Tamandua tetradactyla: one gene and its partner. The protein of the gene in region 1 purifies or fractionates together with the protein of each later gene. This does not show direct contact. Links are inferred from orthologs where the notes say so. Each region holds a gene or a part of one and is shown on either strand. Other genes may lie near its edges.

Region 1 (7,971 bases):
CACAAAACCCATCATTCTTCTAACAGAGAATGTTAGATCAAAGGATCAGATGTTTTGGGTGTTCATTTTACTTTTATTTTTATTCTTTTTTTCTTTTTTGGAGTAATGAAAATGTTCAAAAATCAATTGTGATGACGAATGCACAGCTATATGATAATACTATGAACCACTGATTATATACTTTAGATAATTATATGGTATGTGAATATACATCTCAATTAAAAAATCATTTTCAAAAATCAGCTAAGAGACTGAGACTGGTATTTGTGAAATATTTTCTCTATTCCTTTAAACAGACGAAGCTTTAACTTTGGATCAAGCAGATCTCCCCTGGTCCATACTACCGTCTTGGTCCACAGCCCACTTTTCCTCACTTAGTTGGTCCCTGATTTATTAACGGATGTGAGGCCACCAGAATGCAATCTATTTGCTATGGTCCTGGTTAGGATCATAAATCATCAGTGTCCACTAAGTATAGTTCAAGGTGAATTTTTTTCTTTTAGAATTTCATACTAGAAAGAACTGTTTTCACCTGAGAAACAGGTGTTTCTCTTCCTTCCTGATAACAGGAATTACGAACTCACATAACTCTCATAACTTTGTCATGAAGACTAAGGCCAAATCAGAGGCCCAATTACAGGAAGCACTAGCCTAAGTTTAAGATGACTCCCCAAGCCCATTCTTTTCCTTGAACCTGGTTATTTTTGGCTATGTTTTATCATTTTTATCCTATTTTGAGGTAAAACTCAATTGTGAAACAATTTCAGCTCTTTAGAAAATATAAGGATTACCAACATGCTTAAGAGGATAAATTTAGACTCTTCTAGCCATACTCTGGACAATGGGAGCTCATGATGAATTACAGAAGTTTCCATGACAGAATATGTCCATGTGAAACCCTTTGAGAGGAAGCCCTGCCAGCACTTCTAAGTTGAGGAGCCTGAAGACAACAGCATGACTTTGGACCATAAAACAATGATAACTAAAGTTGTATCTCAGAATCCACAAAGCTACATTCAGCATTTACCTCAAAAGGTCAAAAATTCACACAACATTTTACATATTTATAGCAAGAATGACAAGTAAGATCTCCAGCTCACTCATAGTAAAGGTATGACAAACTCTGTGGATATCATTTTACTTGCTACCATTAAGAAATGCTTGATATTTCTATTAGTTTTACAAGACCCAAACATATGAAAGCAAAAGTTCTCACATGAAAATGTGGAAATGAAAAAATATTTTTACCTGTTGCTTTCAGTCTTGATACAACTAGACCTAAATAAAGTAGGGGTGTGAGGTGAACGCTGAAACTGGAGAGAGTCTGGGGTGGAGAGGAGAAGATGGATAAGGGAGCCAAGAATTTCTCCCTGGGGTTAACATCAATACTGATTTTAGCTCATGTTTTGAGCAGTAAAATAACTTCTGAAATAATGAGCCACCAAAAGTCTGGCACAATGTATATTTCAAAAAGAAGAATTAGCGTTAGCAAAGAGGCAGTTTCTCCAGCTTATAATCACTAGCAGTAGTTTCAATGGCAAAAGAAAAAGAAAGAAAGAAAAATCACAAGGAGAGGGACTGTAACAAATTGAAGATGACACCCACACTAGGTTGTCAAGGAAACCAAAATCAAGCGTATTTTTCTACTAAAAAGAATCAAGGTTAAGGTGAACAGGCCATGGAATACTTTGTGGCAACGATTATTAAAATCTCTTCTTGACAAATCTTCAAGCAAGTAAATTTAATTCCAGGCAATTTTATTAAGAACTTTATCCATAATGTAAGCAGGCAAGCTTGAATTTCCAAACTACCAGCATTGTGGATTCAGCAATCACCTCTCTAAAATCAGGGAAGCTTGGGCCATTCAAAGTACAAGAAATTACCTAAGGTCTTCTTTGTATATCTTAATAACAGTAAAAGAAGCAATCACAAAAAAGGTAAAAAAAAAAAAATAAAAACCTAATTCACAAACAAGCTTCCCCAAATTTAACCTTTCCGTTTTTCAAAATGGAGTCTTTTAACCCACATCATTTTTAAGCTAAAGGGCATGTCTATTCAAACTAAAGCAAGCACTTAACAAGAATTAATCTCCTGAGTGAGCCATTTAATACTGGAAAAGAAAAGAAGGCAGTAAAAAGGGTATCAAGTCGATAGGACTATATAAACATCTCCGTAACTAGGTGGTAAATCATCAGCAAAGAGAAATAAAACACAATTGATGTGGGCACTGAATAAGCGCCACTTAAGAATACTGGATGGCAGGAACAGAAGGTTGAAAGCACCTAAATAAACTGGCTTTCAAGGCAAGGGTGAGATGCTAAGAGGGTCCTACTCAGCGATACTGCGGCTGGAAGTTCGGGGTACCCACCTCGGCCCAGCACTTAAGAGGATGTAGGACACGAAGAGAATCAAAACAGATTTATATGGGGCCCGTCACTCCCTCTCCATTCTTTCCCTTTCCTCAAGGTGAGTGACCTTTTTGCGCGCCCCGGAAGATACACCTTTACTGGTAGTTAAAAGAGAATTTTAAAATCTAAAGGCGAAATATTTAAGGAAAGGGGTAGGAGATGTGCAGGGTGGAGATGCCGCCGCCTTTATCCGCACAGGTGGGTAGACGGCTTGAGGCCGGGAGTCCAGGGCTCAGCTACCTCTACCTCCAGGGGAGAAGGCGGGATACCTCAGGCTGCAGGGTCCGCGAGGGAGGCCACAAGGAACTGCTCAACGCCTGTGGAACTGGAAGACCAGAGCAAGCGGGAGGAACAGGGATGAGGGTGTCCAGCGGACTGAGGGGATGGAGATGGCAAGGCTCTTACCCGGTGCCACAGTCCACCACGCAAGGAGGCAGGTAACTCGCCATGCTCGGAAGGCCGGGCGCGGCGTGCACCGCTCGGCCTAGACGAGCGGCCCAGGAACACCCCCGCTACGATCGCGGCGGCCGGCCTTATACGCGTGGGTCCCACTGCCTCGCCCCCGCCCACGGGGCCGCCTCTCCCGCGGCTCGGGTAGCCAGAGGCAGCACCGCTCTCGGGAGCCCGGATGCTCCGCGGCAGAGCCACGTGACGCTCCTCCCTCTGTCCTAGCCAATCACGGCGCAAGGATGCCCCCCTCCCCTCTCTCGCCATCTTTAGTGCTGGTATGAGGTTTCTGTGCTTATACGTTGTGGATGGTACCCTTGTGGCCGAAGAGATTGGTATTTATATTTGACTGATTTATGGTGAAGGTGACCCCATTTCCGAGACCTGGCTTCTTCTCATCCTTTAAGTTCCACTTCAAATGTCACCTTCTCAGGGAACCTAATTAGGTTTCCACCCCACACCTGATTCTGTCTCAGCAATGAATTGCTTTCATTCATGCACTTAGAGCAAACTTTTTCTACTTATTAGTAGTCTGTCTCCCACTGATCTGTTAGCTCTACTAGGACAGGGCTCATGTCTGTCTTATTCACCACAGGTTACCCTGTGCTTAGCATGGTATCTGGCACATATATAGGAAGCACCCAAATGTTGAATGAATGAATAATTTTCACCCTGAAGAAATTTACTATTAGTTTTCCTTTTTTTTTTTGCATGGGCAGTCACCGGGAATCTAACCCGGGTCTCCAGCATGGCAGGTGAGACGACTGTTAGTTATTATACCTAGCAGAACACTAATTTCCTCTAGAAAAGAAAAATCTGCAAGGCATATGCATAGCCAGCCTTAAGAGATTATCTTAGGGTTAGTTAATATTATGCCATATTTTCAGGTATCAAAGATAAAATTATCATCCAAAAATTCTTACTGAAATCATGGATCAGAGTAAGCAAACACCTGCCTACTATGTTATGAGGATACTGGAAGTCCAACTTGCTTCCTGCTCTCTACCCTATCATAAATTCTTGAAAATTTTTTATGAACTTTTGGAGACATGTAATTTTTATGTGGTTTTAACTGGTATTTAAAGCACTGTGTTTTTTTCCTAAGAGAAGTAATAGATTAGTTGATCACTCTTGGATAAATCATTATTGTTCCCATATTACTTAAAAGGGTCAAATAAGCCCCAGACCTAGAAAATTTTCAGGGGAACTGGAGAGAGAAATAGAAAATGTGAGGAAAGTGAAAGGGCAGCAGTGTAGAAGAATACCAATATAGGATCCCAAGTATAATCCATATGGGCAAAACACTAACTTGCTTACTTTGAGTTTTGCCAATGCCTACCCAGCTCCCACTTTTCATGGCACTAGCCAAAATGCCATAGATATACTCTAGGACTGCAGACTGTTGGCTTGGCACCATGATGTCTTTTATTTTCTTTCAGTCACTTAATATATATTAAGTGTTTACTGTAAGGCAGAAACTATATTAAACACTGGGCTTGCAACAGTAAGCAGGATTCTCACAGTCTGTGCTCCCAAGACATCGGTTTCTATGGGAGATAATGGCAGTTAAGAGGCAATTGCAATACAGTTCATTAAGTGCTAAGATAGGGCAAGTCCAAAAGGCTTGGAAAGCCACTAGAGGGGCACCCAACTCTGACTTGTCAGCTAGTGAGGACTTCTCAGAGCAATAGTATCTAAGCTGAAACCCAGAGGATGAATAGAGGGTAACTAGACAGAGGAGAATGAGAGAGTGTTTTAGGATGGGAAACAATCTGCACAAAACAAGAAGGACCTCAAGGCTCATGTATGTTTGTGGTGGTTTGAAGCTACATGTACCCCAGAAAAACATGTTCTTATATGTAATCCATTCCCGTGGATGTAAACCCATTATAAATAAGACCATTTGATGAGGCTTCTTCAGTTAAGATGTGAATCACCTAATTCAGGATGGGTCTTAATCCTATTACTGGAGTCCGTTATAATTGAAATGAATACAGAGAGAGAGAGAGAGAAAGAGAGAGAGAGAGAGAGGAGAAAAGCCTTGGAAACAAGAAGCTGGAAGCAAAGAACCTATAAGGGAAGGGAGAGACCAGAAGATACCACCATGTGCCTTGCCACATGGAAGAGGAGTCAAGAATCACCAGCAATTGGTCTTCAGGCAGAAAGCATCACCTTTATTTAGACATTCTCACAGCCTCAAACTGTAAGCCAATAAATTCCCATTGTTTAAAGCCAACCCATTTCATGATATCTGCTTTGAGCAGCCTGGGTAACCCAAACAATTGTCCATTCACCAGGAAATACGCCTTTGAGGGAATTTGGAACTGGCTGGTAATAAAAAGTTTTCCTTTACAGGGATTTTGCATAGAATTTATTGGGAATGGTGGCCATGGTCAGCAGCTGACAGGAAATAAATCAGAGACTCTAACTTCAATGATTTCCTCTAGATACCACTAACCCTCAAGGTATCAGTTAAGATGTTTTCATACACAGTAAGAGAAAACCTCGTTAAAAGTGGCATAAGCAATGAGGAAATTTTATTATCTCATGTAATAGGAAATCCAGTAACTCTAAGAGAACTCCACCAATTCAATGACATCATTGTGGACCTATACATTCTGTTCTACCAACCTCTTGTGTGTTGGCCTTTGTCCTCAGGCCCATCCCTTGCAATTGCAAGATGGCTACAGCAGCTGCATGCACTAAAACAGACAAAGAAAGGAAAAAGAAATTCCCCATCTTGATTATCTTTCAAAGAGGGAAGAAAGACTTTTCCAGGAGTCCCCGGCAGCTTCCCTGCTTGTTTCATCAACCAGCCTATGCAAAAAAAAAAAACAGTTATTGGCAAGGGATACTGTTGTACTGTGAATGGCAAACTTTTGAAAACAAACCCCTTAGGCTGGAGAGGGATGTCCTGTCCTTTGAAGCATATGGCAGCTGGTGCCTGACTGATGCTGAATTTGGTCAGCAAGAGGCAAATGTTCATTGTGCAGACAACGAAATAGTTTCTGCATCACCCATAATTTTCTTAATTAAGCCATATATTCTCACTTCCCTATGCCTTTTTTACATAATCTTGCCTTTGCTTGAAATTGTTACTTAACCTGCTCATCCTTGCTGACCCAGCTCTAGCTTTACCATCTCTATGAAGCACACCTTTACTTCATAAATCTAATCCCTCTCCTCTGTGCTCACAGAAAGCATCATACATACTTTCACTTTAGTGTTTATTTGATGGCATTGTAATTTGTTGCAGGACTATAATCCCCAGTAGACAGGGAGCTCCCTTAGAGTAGGATTATGTTTTATATATTTTTATATTTCTAGTTCACAGGACATCATCTGGGACCTTGTAACCAGTCAATGAATGATTGTGAACTCCTATAGATCAGAGGCTATTGCATCACTTTTTATAGTGCCTAGTGTACAATACCCACAGAGATAAACCTTACATCCTGCAAGAGATACTTCAAGTACAATTTTTATTAGTTATATTGCAAATGAGGTTTGCTCACTCTAATATACACTGCAAAATGCCTGCTACCAAATGCCTGTTAGTCCAGAATATTTTTCTTTACTCTGTGTGGCTCAGCCTATCTCCCTGTGCTCTGCTTGTAATAGAAGGGAAGGTTTAATCAGCTCTATTTCACAGGAGAGTCAATCTCTTGATTGTGTTTCTACCCAAAAGTGACCTACTCAGCCCCATCCCAACAGGCAGAAACATGGATACCATAACACTTCCTGGATAGAATTTAGCATCCCCTCCATGGCAGATGGTATAACTATTTCATGACTACAATCCTGGGTGCTATAACATCCCAGTACCATTCTCAAATGAACTTCAATGAACACTTTTTGATGCTGGTTATGCATATGAAGACAATTTTAAAAACAAAATAAGCAGGGCTTAGACATTGGCTATCCAAAGGAATTTAGTCAATGAAAACTCAGGCAATGAGATCTTCATTTCCTGCATTTAACTGGTTGTGCTGGGCCAAGAAGTAAAAAAAGAACACAAAACTAAAGGCTTTCTTTAAAAAGTGCCCACCCAGCAACTCCGTGAGTCTTAAATCTCAGAGCTGTAAGAAGGAGCACTCTGTGTGTTCTCTGTTGCCATGAAAATTCAAAGAGAAAAGAGTACCAAAAAATTAGTACTCCATTCCTTTCAAGTAGTTGGCATTCTCCTTTAAGAGGAAGGGCCTGTCACTGAGCTCAATGGACCTCCCTGATGTGTTGGCAACTGTGAGAAAAAAATGATCCAAACTAAAGTTGATGGGCTGGAGTGTATCAAAGAATTGACAACAGACCAAAAAAACACAAAACAGTTAAGGAAATCCCGTCAACACTAAACATATTCAGATCAACTCTGCTGTGTTTCTGTCTCCATTAATAAAAATTACTCAGACTAGAAAGTTCATCCTCAATTCCTCCTTCTCACTCTTCTCCTACACCAGTCAGCTTCCAAGTCCTGTTCATTCAACCTCACCACCTCCCTTGTGTCCATACCCTGCTTCTCATGCCTACTGTCGTTCTTGCTGAACTATTCAAAACCTCCCCACACCCCTGCTCCAGCCACCCTGTCTCCAGGCTTTTGCCTACTCAATACACCTTTTGGACAAATTACACTGCTGTAAAAGGTATCATTACAAAATATAGAAAGTTTATATATCATGTCATTCTTCTTTCCCCCAAACCTTCAATGACTCCCTATTATTTATGGAATTTGGCCCAAACTCTTATGGTGGGTCTTAAGGTTCCCTATGATCTGCTCCTAAGTTAACCTTTCTAATTTCATCTCACATTATGCCCCTTGACACATCAGGGCACAGCAGACCACAGACACTGTTCTTCAAACCTTCTGCATCGTCAGGTCATCATGCAGTCCTCTCAGTCTTCGACATTCTCCTTCAGCTACCTCATCTTTATCCTCCAAGACTCATTCATCCTTCCAATTTCAATTCAAATTCACTTCATTTATTCATTCAACAAAATAGACTGAGTGCATTTTAGTAAATTCCCCTGTTCTAGCAAACAGTATTCCTATCCAGTTCAAATGGAGAATTTGAATTACAGTATAACTTAGTTTTCAGAGCATTTTCAGTACATCATCACATTT
Region 2 (7,074 bases), on another chromosome or scaffold:
TGTTCATTTCTGTAAAAGCTTAATTTTTCAAGCCCTTGCTCAAATTTAACCTGTGTGGCCCCCTCTAAAAACACACAGGAATGATTTGTCATTTGAATTCTTTGAACTTATTATACCTACCATGCATTATCATAACTATATTAAAGAGTAATTTTTCAAATCTAAATAGTAAGCTCTTCTAAGTCAAAGACAGTGAATAGCTAAAATAGTTTGCTGGTTTTGTGAAACTTCAGGGGATTTGGGGACAAATGATAAGATCCCAGTAGAGATCACTGGGCTGTCAGTGACTCACCTTCACCGCCTGACTCTTGGTGTTGATGGGGGGATTTTTCAGAGCTGCTTGTAGAGCAGCTGTCATATTTCCTGTGATGGAGGTTAAGGAGATAAAAGCAAAGGATAGCCCCTAGGAAAGCACTATAACTACTGATAACCATTGGTTTTTATAACTTGACTTTTACATAAAAAGGAAAAGTTACTATAGTCACTATGTTCACTATTGGAAAATTCAATGTGCCAGTTTCAAAGATGGCCTTCAAAGGTAAACTACTGAAAACAGAACATTACATTATTTTTTTGTAAAGACTTTTCACCTTTGGTTCTAAATAGCAAATGAATACCTTGATAACCTTTCATATTCCCGTGGGAAACATATGCACGCAATATCCAGAGTGGTATTAAACCCTAAAATACATATCAGAATTATTAGGTCCCCTAGCAATCAAAATGTCTTTTTTATGTGATTATGACTAGGAAAAAAAATTAAACTTTTACCAAAACTTTATTCTATAATAGTTGAAATTCTGGTAGAAAATCCTGGTAGATTACCCTGGCATCTCAACAATATTATTAGCATTTCTCAATATTGATGACAGGAGACATCACAGAAAGTGTAATAACACAAACGACCCTTAGGTGGCAGCTTAATTTTTCTGTTTTGGATATATTCTTTCAGATCATTCAAACTGTTTTAGCCCATACCTATTACATTTAGCCTCTTTGAAAGCACCACTGGGTTAGCTACTATGAGAAACGGAAGGCCAATCAGACTATTAGAATGTACAGTCATTCCCCTAAAAGGAAAACCACTAAGTTCACTTATTTCCTCCATCTCTAGTGCTGGGCTCCCTCAGAGAAGGCAGGCTTATCTCCCCTGGTTCATAACAAAGGCTGAAGAGATATCTTTATATTTTAAGATAAATTGATTAAAAATCAGATCCACTGAGAGGACTACAGCACTATTATTTAAGCGTCATACAAATAATCTAAAATAGGCTAAATTAGTCTTACAAAACTTGATTTATCCATCCTAAAGAATGTCAAAAAGAATAATATTTTCCACTTATCTTCCGGAGAAAAAAGTCTGTCCAAAAAACTCAAAGGTTGGTGATAAACTGTTATTTTCAAACTTCTAGCGAAGCATGCCTCTTGTAGATTGGTTCATTTTTTAAGATGCAAAACATATCACAAATATCGAAATAATGCAAAATCGTAACTGATTGTGAAAGTTGAAGAAATCAAGGGAACATATGTACGTTGATAAAGCCAAATATAGTTGTACCAAATATTTCCCCCATTATAATTTAATAGAACATGCATGAGGAAAGAGTATGAAAAGCCTTCCTTCTTTTATGGACAGGAATAATTAGAAAAGCATGAAGTTCAGCCCCCCAAAATCTGAAAAACTGCAGCTTGTATGGCAACATCTACATTTTTCTAAAAAGATATGATGCAAATGCGAATAACTAAATATGATTACTCAAAATACGCAAAACCAAAACCCAGGCACTGACAGTCACATTTTAACTAAAACGGAAACAATTTTAGGGATTCCAAAAATGTTTCTGCTTTATACAAACGACTCCTCTTCAATTTTACTCACGGGAATTTATTTTAAATATATCCACGGGTTCTCTTTAGGTCTTCCCCGTTTTCTACCAACCTTTTCTCGAGCAGGTAAAGCACTCCAAGCTTCCTTTCTTGGGAATTTTGTTTTGTACTCACTCCCCTCCCCTCAGTTAAATGCCCCCCCCTCAGTTAAATTTTGTGCAAGCTGTATTTTGCCAAATCCTTTTTTTCTTAAAAGAAAAAAAAAGGAAAAAAAAAAAGGCAGCAGTAGGTCGTGGGCTGAAAAGACCTAGGATCTCATTCTGCGAACCGCGGTATCCCTCCTGGCAAGGAAGAAACTATTTCAACGCAAGAAAAAAACAAAAACAAACAAAGCCACTAAAGAAACATGCCCTTTCCCCGATCCGAAATTTCTGGAGCGACAGCGAGTCTAGTAAAGACCGTTCTAGGGAGAGCACAGAGAAAACACAGCCCTACCGACAGGCACCTAATTCCTTCCCCAGCGCAGCGAGGGCGAGGCTGGCGAAGCCTGTTCCCCAGAGGCAGGAACTCCCGGAGCAACCTGAGGAGTCCGGGCGCGTGGAAGGCGCGTTCGGAAGGGCAGGTTCCCCAGCCTGGGACCCTGAGGTCTCGAGGCGGCTCTGTTAGAATCGGAGGGAACCTCTCACTCCTCAGAATGGGGCCCCCAAACAGGAAGGTTCCACCCGCGCGCCGCAGGGGCAGCTCCGCGTCCGTCCCGGGAGGGGTCCCTGGCCCTCCGACCCCGCGGGGTGGCGGGGTCCGGAGAGAAGAGCCGGGTGGGGAGCGCGGGGGACGCAAGGATATTGCCGCAGGCAGGAGTCCACCTCGCCTTCGTCCGGCCCGGCCTGGCCGTCGCCTCCGTCTTCCTCGTCCACGAACTTGTTCTCGTCGTACTCATCCACGTCCACCTTCCGGAACCGGGCTGACGACACCGTATTCTTCGACATCCCTGATGCGGACCGACGGCAAAGGCCTCCTCTTGGTGGGGACCGCTCCTCAACAACCCCAACCCAGCAGAATCCGCAGCCTGCGCCTTCACTTCCCTCTTCCGCTCTGGGGCGTCGCCGGCAGCCGCGGCTCAGGCGGTTCTGGGCCTGCGCGGTGGCCCCGCTCCTTCCTCCTTAGGTTCACGCTCTTCTCCAGCCTCCTACGCCCCGGGCGCTGTCCCCAGGAGAGCGCGGCAGGGAGGGAGTGCGCAGTGCGCATGCGCAGACTCTCCGCAGGAAAGGGGCGGGGCTGGCTGAAGGAGGCGGGGGCGGGAGGGGGCGGAGTAGGAGGCAAAGCGAAAAGCGGTACCGCTGCCAAAGGTAACAGGCAATTGGTTGTCCGAAAGCGTCACGTAATCCCGAGGGGGTTCCCATAGAAACGCTTCTCTGCGGTCCAGTCTGGGGGGTCCGAGGTTGAAGGCTATGGGCGCAAGGAGCCGGCGGCCTTGGCTTTTGCTGCTCTCCCGGCTGAGCTGTCATTGGAGTTCTGCGTAAAGTCCGGCTGATCTGGCCTTACCCATGGGGTGAGATGGACTGGTTGCCGGACCGAGTTCCCTGCAGTTGGCAGGAGGATGGGGAGGAGTGGTGTACGCCCGGATGCCCAGCGTCGTTCTAGTTGTCGGAGACATCGCTTCGGACACCGCGCTTCAGGGGACGGTCTTCCCAAGCTAGGTCCCCTCCCCGGGTTTAGAACTACATCGTGCGGCCAACGAGAGGTCCCCAAGGACGGAGTCGAAAGGTCGTATTTTATTTCTCAGTGCTGTGTGACAACATCATGACAGGACCTGCAGAAGCTGAACTCGGTATCGTGTCCATTGGGAAGGAGGGGAAGGTGGCTGGGAGGGGCGGGGGTTGGGTGGTAAAACCGGAGAACCTGTAGAATTTGGTCAGTCATTATTCACATCTTAAAATAGGTGGTGGTTTGGAGCAAGAATGCTAGAGGAGGGTGGGGGCAAGTTAGGCTCTCTGGTGCTGAGGGGAAACAGAATGTGTTAGGATTCGTAGAAATGAGACCCTTAATATTTATATTTATGATATTTATATTGTTATAATATTTATATTATGATTTATATGGTGCTACTAGGCCAGCTTTTTATTATATTTGGCATCCCCATTTCCGAGACTAGAGCTGTTATTGAGGTAAAGCCACTATAAAAAAGGTAGCTGTGCTGTATGTATTACAGTGAAGTACAAATTAATTAAAAGTTCAAATATATGCAGAATAAAATTAATTTGAACATTTAGCTGGACACAGCTCAGGTGGCTTCATATTTTCCTGCCATTCTATCAGATCCAGTTTAGGTCCTCCGTTAGCAGAAGGCTGACTGTTGCCCCTGTTGAATAACTCAATACCTGGTTTTCTGTGGTGTATTGAAAAGAGCACTGGGCTTAGAATCATAAAAACCCAGACTTGAGTCTTGGCTACAATTTATAATCTGCTTGAGGCATGCAATTTAAAATTTTTAATCTCAGGTTCCTCATGCCTAAAATAGGAATAATGGTGTGTATTTCATAAGATTCTTATGAAGATTAAATGCACAAAAGTGTTTTGAAGCGCTAAAATTCTGCATTAATGTAAAATGTATGTTACCTGTACCATTGATTTGGGGACTAGCTTTATAAATTGCTAAATGATATATTATGTTTTAACTTGCCCCCAAAAGAGATTGCAAAATTCTGAAGGACAGACCATATAGATAGATAGATAGATAGATAGATAGATAGATAGATAGATAGATAGATAAATATATATATATTTACCTTTCTTTACATCTGTCATAAAGTTAAGCTTGCAGAAGGTACTCAATAAATGCTTGGTGGAGAAATGAAGTGTGAAAGGCAGTTAGGTTGAAAACATACTGAGAATAATGAATCACTAAGAAAAGGAAGAGAGACCTCAAACCTTTGAGAGAGAAAGAGAGAGAGAGAGAGAGAGAGAGAGAGAGAGAGAGAGAGGAAGAAAGAGAGAGAGAGACATCTCAGGAATTGAATGCATCTTTTTTCCTTGGGAGAGGAAAACAATGTGGTATTTTTCATTTCTCGATTAAATTACCCTTCTAGAAGATATGTCATTTAGGTGACAGAAAGTGGCATTTCTTTAAATTAACATTCAAGTTTTAAACAAATATACTGATACAAACTCCCCTAGGACTGTAAAACAGCAAAGACAAATTTTCTACCTGTTAGTAATATTTATTTTAAAATATCGGATACCAAAATACAAAATTATTGCTTATGGTGAATGGCGTTATATAACTTAGAATAAAGGTTTGTTTTAATATTTGTTCTCAGTTTAAATCTTCTGCTAATTTTAGTAAGAGCTAGACAACATACTTATTTAGATTCTAAAGATGATTGTACTTTTTGTTCTTATAATTCAGGATTTTCTTTGAAGAGAAAATTGAGCATTAAAAGCACTATTGAGAGTAAGTGGCAACAAGGATTCAAGAGTTAATAATCCCTTCTCTTACATTTCTAGTCTTTTGTATTAAGTCTTGTTTAGGAAATCTTTCTATTCTCTTATTTTAGAACTGAGAAAGACTTACTGGGTAAAAATCAACTTAAAGGGAACAGTGAGGAGAATTTTTAAAAATCGAGGTTGCTCAAGGGTATAATGGTTTTTATTGCTCAGAATTTTGCACTGTATGTTGAATGTGTTAAATGTAATTAATTCTTAGCCTCAAAATACATACTACATTTCAGATGTCAAAAAGGTTCTTTTTCCACTGCAGTATTTTTTACTGTCTCACAATGAACTAAGTGCCTAGGTACATAGTTGGTGCTCAATAAGTTTCTATCAAATGAGTTAATGATGTGACAAGTTTTGGAACAAATATAATTTTGGAATTATATTTAAAAACTGAGTGTTTTTGAATAGACATTAATACCCACGTTAGCTAATAGTTAAATCTTTATAAATCTTAGGGAGATGTTTTGTGAAGAGACTCATCCTTAGTTATCTTTTTTTCTTTTAATTAGGAAATACACATTGTACACATTATCCCACTTCCTTGCAAATTTCCAAATGTTTAATGTTAACTATGATATTTAATTCATTGTAAATAATATTAGTCTCCCTATTTTACATTTCAAGATGAGTACTTGACCCTGAACTAAAGAATCCATAAGGTTTTGAGACATTTGATTTTTTATGTAAATAACCTGGTTTGGACTACTACTAAAGCGAGACAGAATGTGAATTTTCTAAAAGTTAATGCTGCATGATAGTATATAGCTCCTTCTAATTTTCTATGATGATGCAAAGTCAAGGGTCTTATTAGTTAGAAGAAACTTTAATAGCATGATCCTATAATAGGTCTTCTCAGATAGTTTAAACCAAGAATTTTACTGCCCATGTGCTTCTTTCCCTTAAATTTGTCTCTAAATATTTAAACAAATGAAGTCATTGAATTTTGCTAGCATGGCACTATTGTTTTTATTATTTGGAATCAAAGTGAACTCAGTGTTAATAAAATATATCAGATGTGTGTTATAAATACAAAATAAGTATATTTCAGTTATGGTGATGATGATTGTGCCCGTTTGAATCTGTTGTGTGCTCCAGAAAAGCCAAGTTCTTTAATCTTATTCAGTGTCGTTGGGTGGGATCTTTTTTATTGTTTCCGTGGAGATGTGACCCACCCAATCGTGGGTGGTAACTTTAGATTGTTTCCATGGAACTGTGTCTCCACCCATTCAAGGTGAGGTTGCTTACTGGAGCCCTTTAAGAGGGAACCCTTTTGGAAAAAGCTCAGAGCCAACAGAACCCACACAGCCAGAGGCTTTTGGACGTGAAGAAAAAAAATGCCCCCTAGGAGTCGCTTGAAAGGAGAAGCCAGAGACCCCAGCAGATGCCAGGCATGTCTTCCCAGCTAACAGAGGTGTTCCTGACCCATTGGCCATTCTTGATCCAAGTTATCGTTTTCTGGATGCCTCAGTTTGAACATTCTTATAGGCTTAGAACTGTAAATTTGCAACTTAATAAATTCCCTTTTTAAAAGCTGTTCCAGGGAATATGAGGGTATTTCAGTGGTAGAATTCTCACTTGCCTTGCGAGGTACTCTGGTTCGATTCCTGGCCCATGCACTTCCCAAACAAACAAAGAAGCCAACAAAAACAAACAAACCATTCAACAAATGGTGCTGCAATAACAGGACACACATGGAAAAAGAATGAAATGTAACCCCGCCGTACAGTATACAAAAAAAAAAAAAAAAAAGCT

Evidence for each region. The genes of interacting proteins can lie anywhere in the genome.
Region 2: the proteins of ACTR3B (region 1) and ARPC5 purify together in Homo sapiens (affinity purification with mass spectrometry; 5 studies listed by BioGRID and IntAct, counting the BioPlex papers as one, with this or other methods). This does not show direct contact. The link is inferred for Tamandua tetradactyla from reciprocal best matches to the Homo sapiens genes ACTR3B and ARPC5.

The regions. Positions count from the first base shown.
Region 1 is NC_135327.1:197,440,001-197,447,971, reverse strand, and holds the start of ACTR3B (actin-related protein 3B), read right to left. Parts: upstream 3,031-7,971; 5' UTR 2,858-3,030; coding exon 2,814-2,857; exon of another isoform or gene 2,646-2,813; intron 2,392-2,645; exon of another isoform or gene 2,369-2,391; intron 1-2,368. UniProt on the Homo sapiens protein: Plays a role in the organization of the actin cytoskeleton.
Region 2 is NC_135330.1:38,564,708-38,571,781, forward strand, and holds the start of ARPC5 (actin-related protein 2/3 complex subunit 5), read right to left. Parts: upstream 3,041-7,074; 5' UTR 2,814-3,040; coding exon 2,671-2,813; intron 375-2,670; coding exon 293-374; intron 1-292. UniProt on the Homo sapiens protein: Component of the Arp2/3 complex, a multiprotein complex that mediates actin polymerization upon stimulation by nucleation-promoting factor (NPF).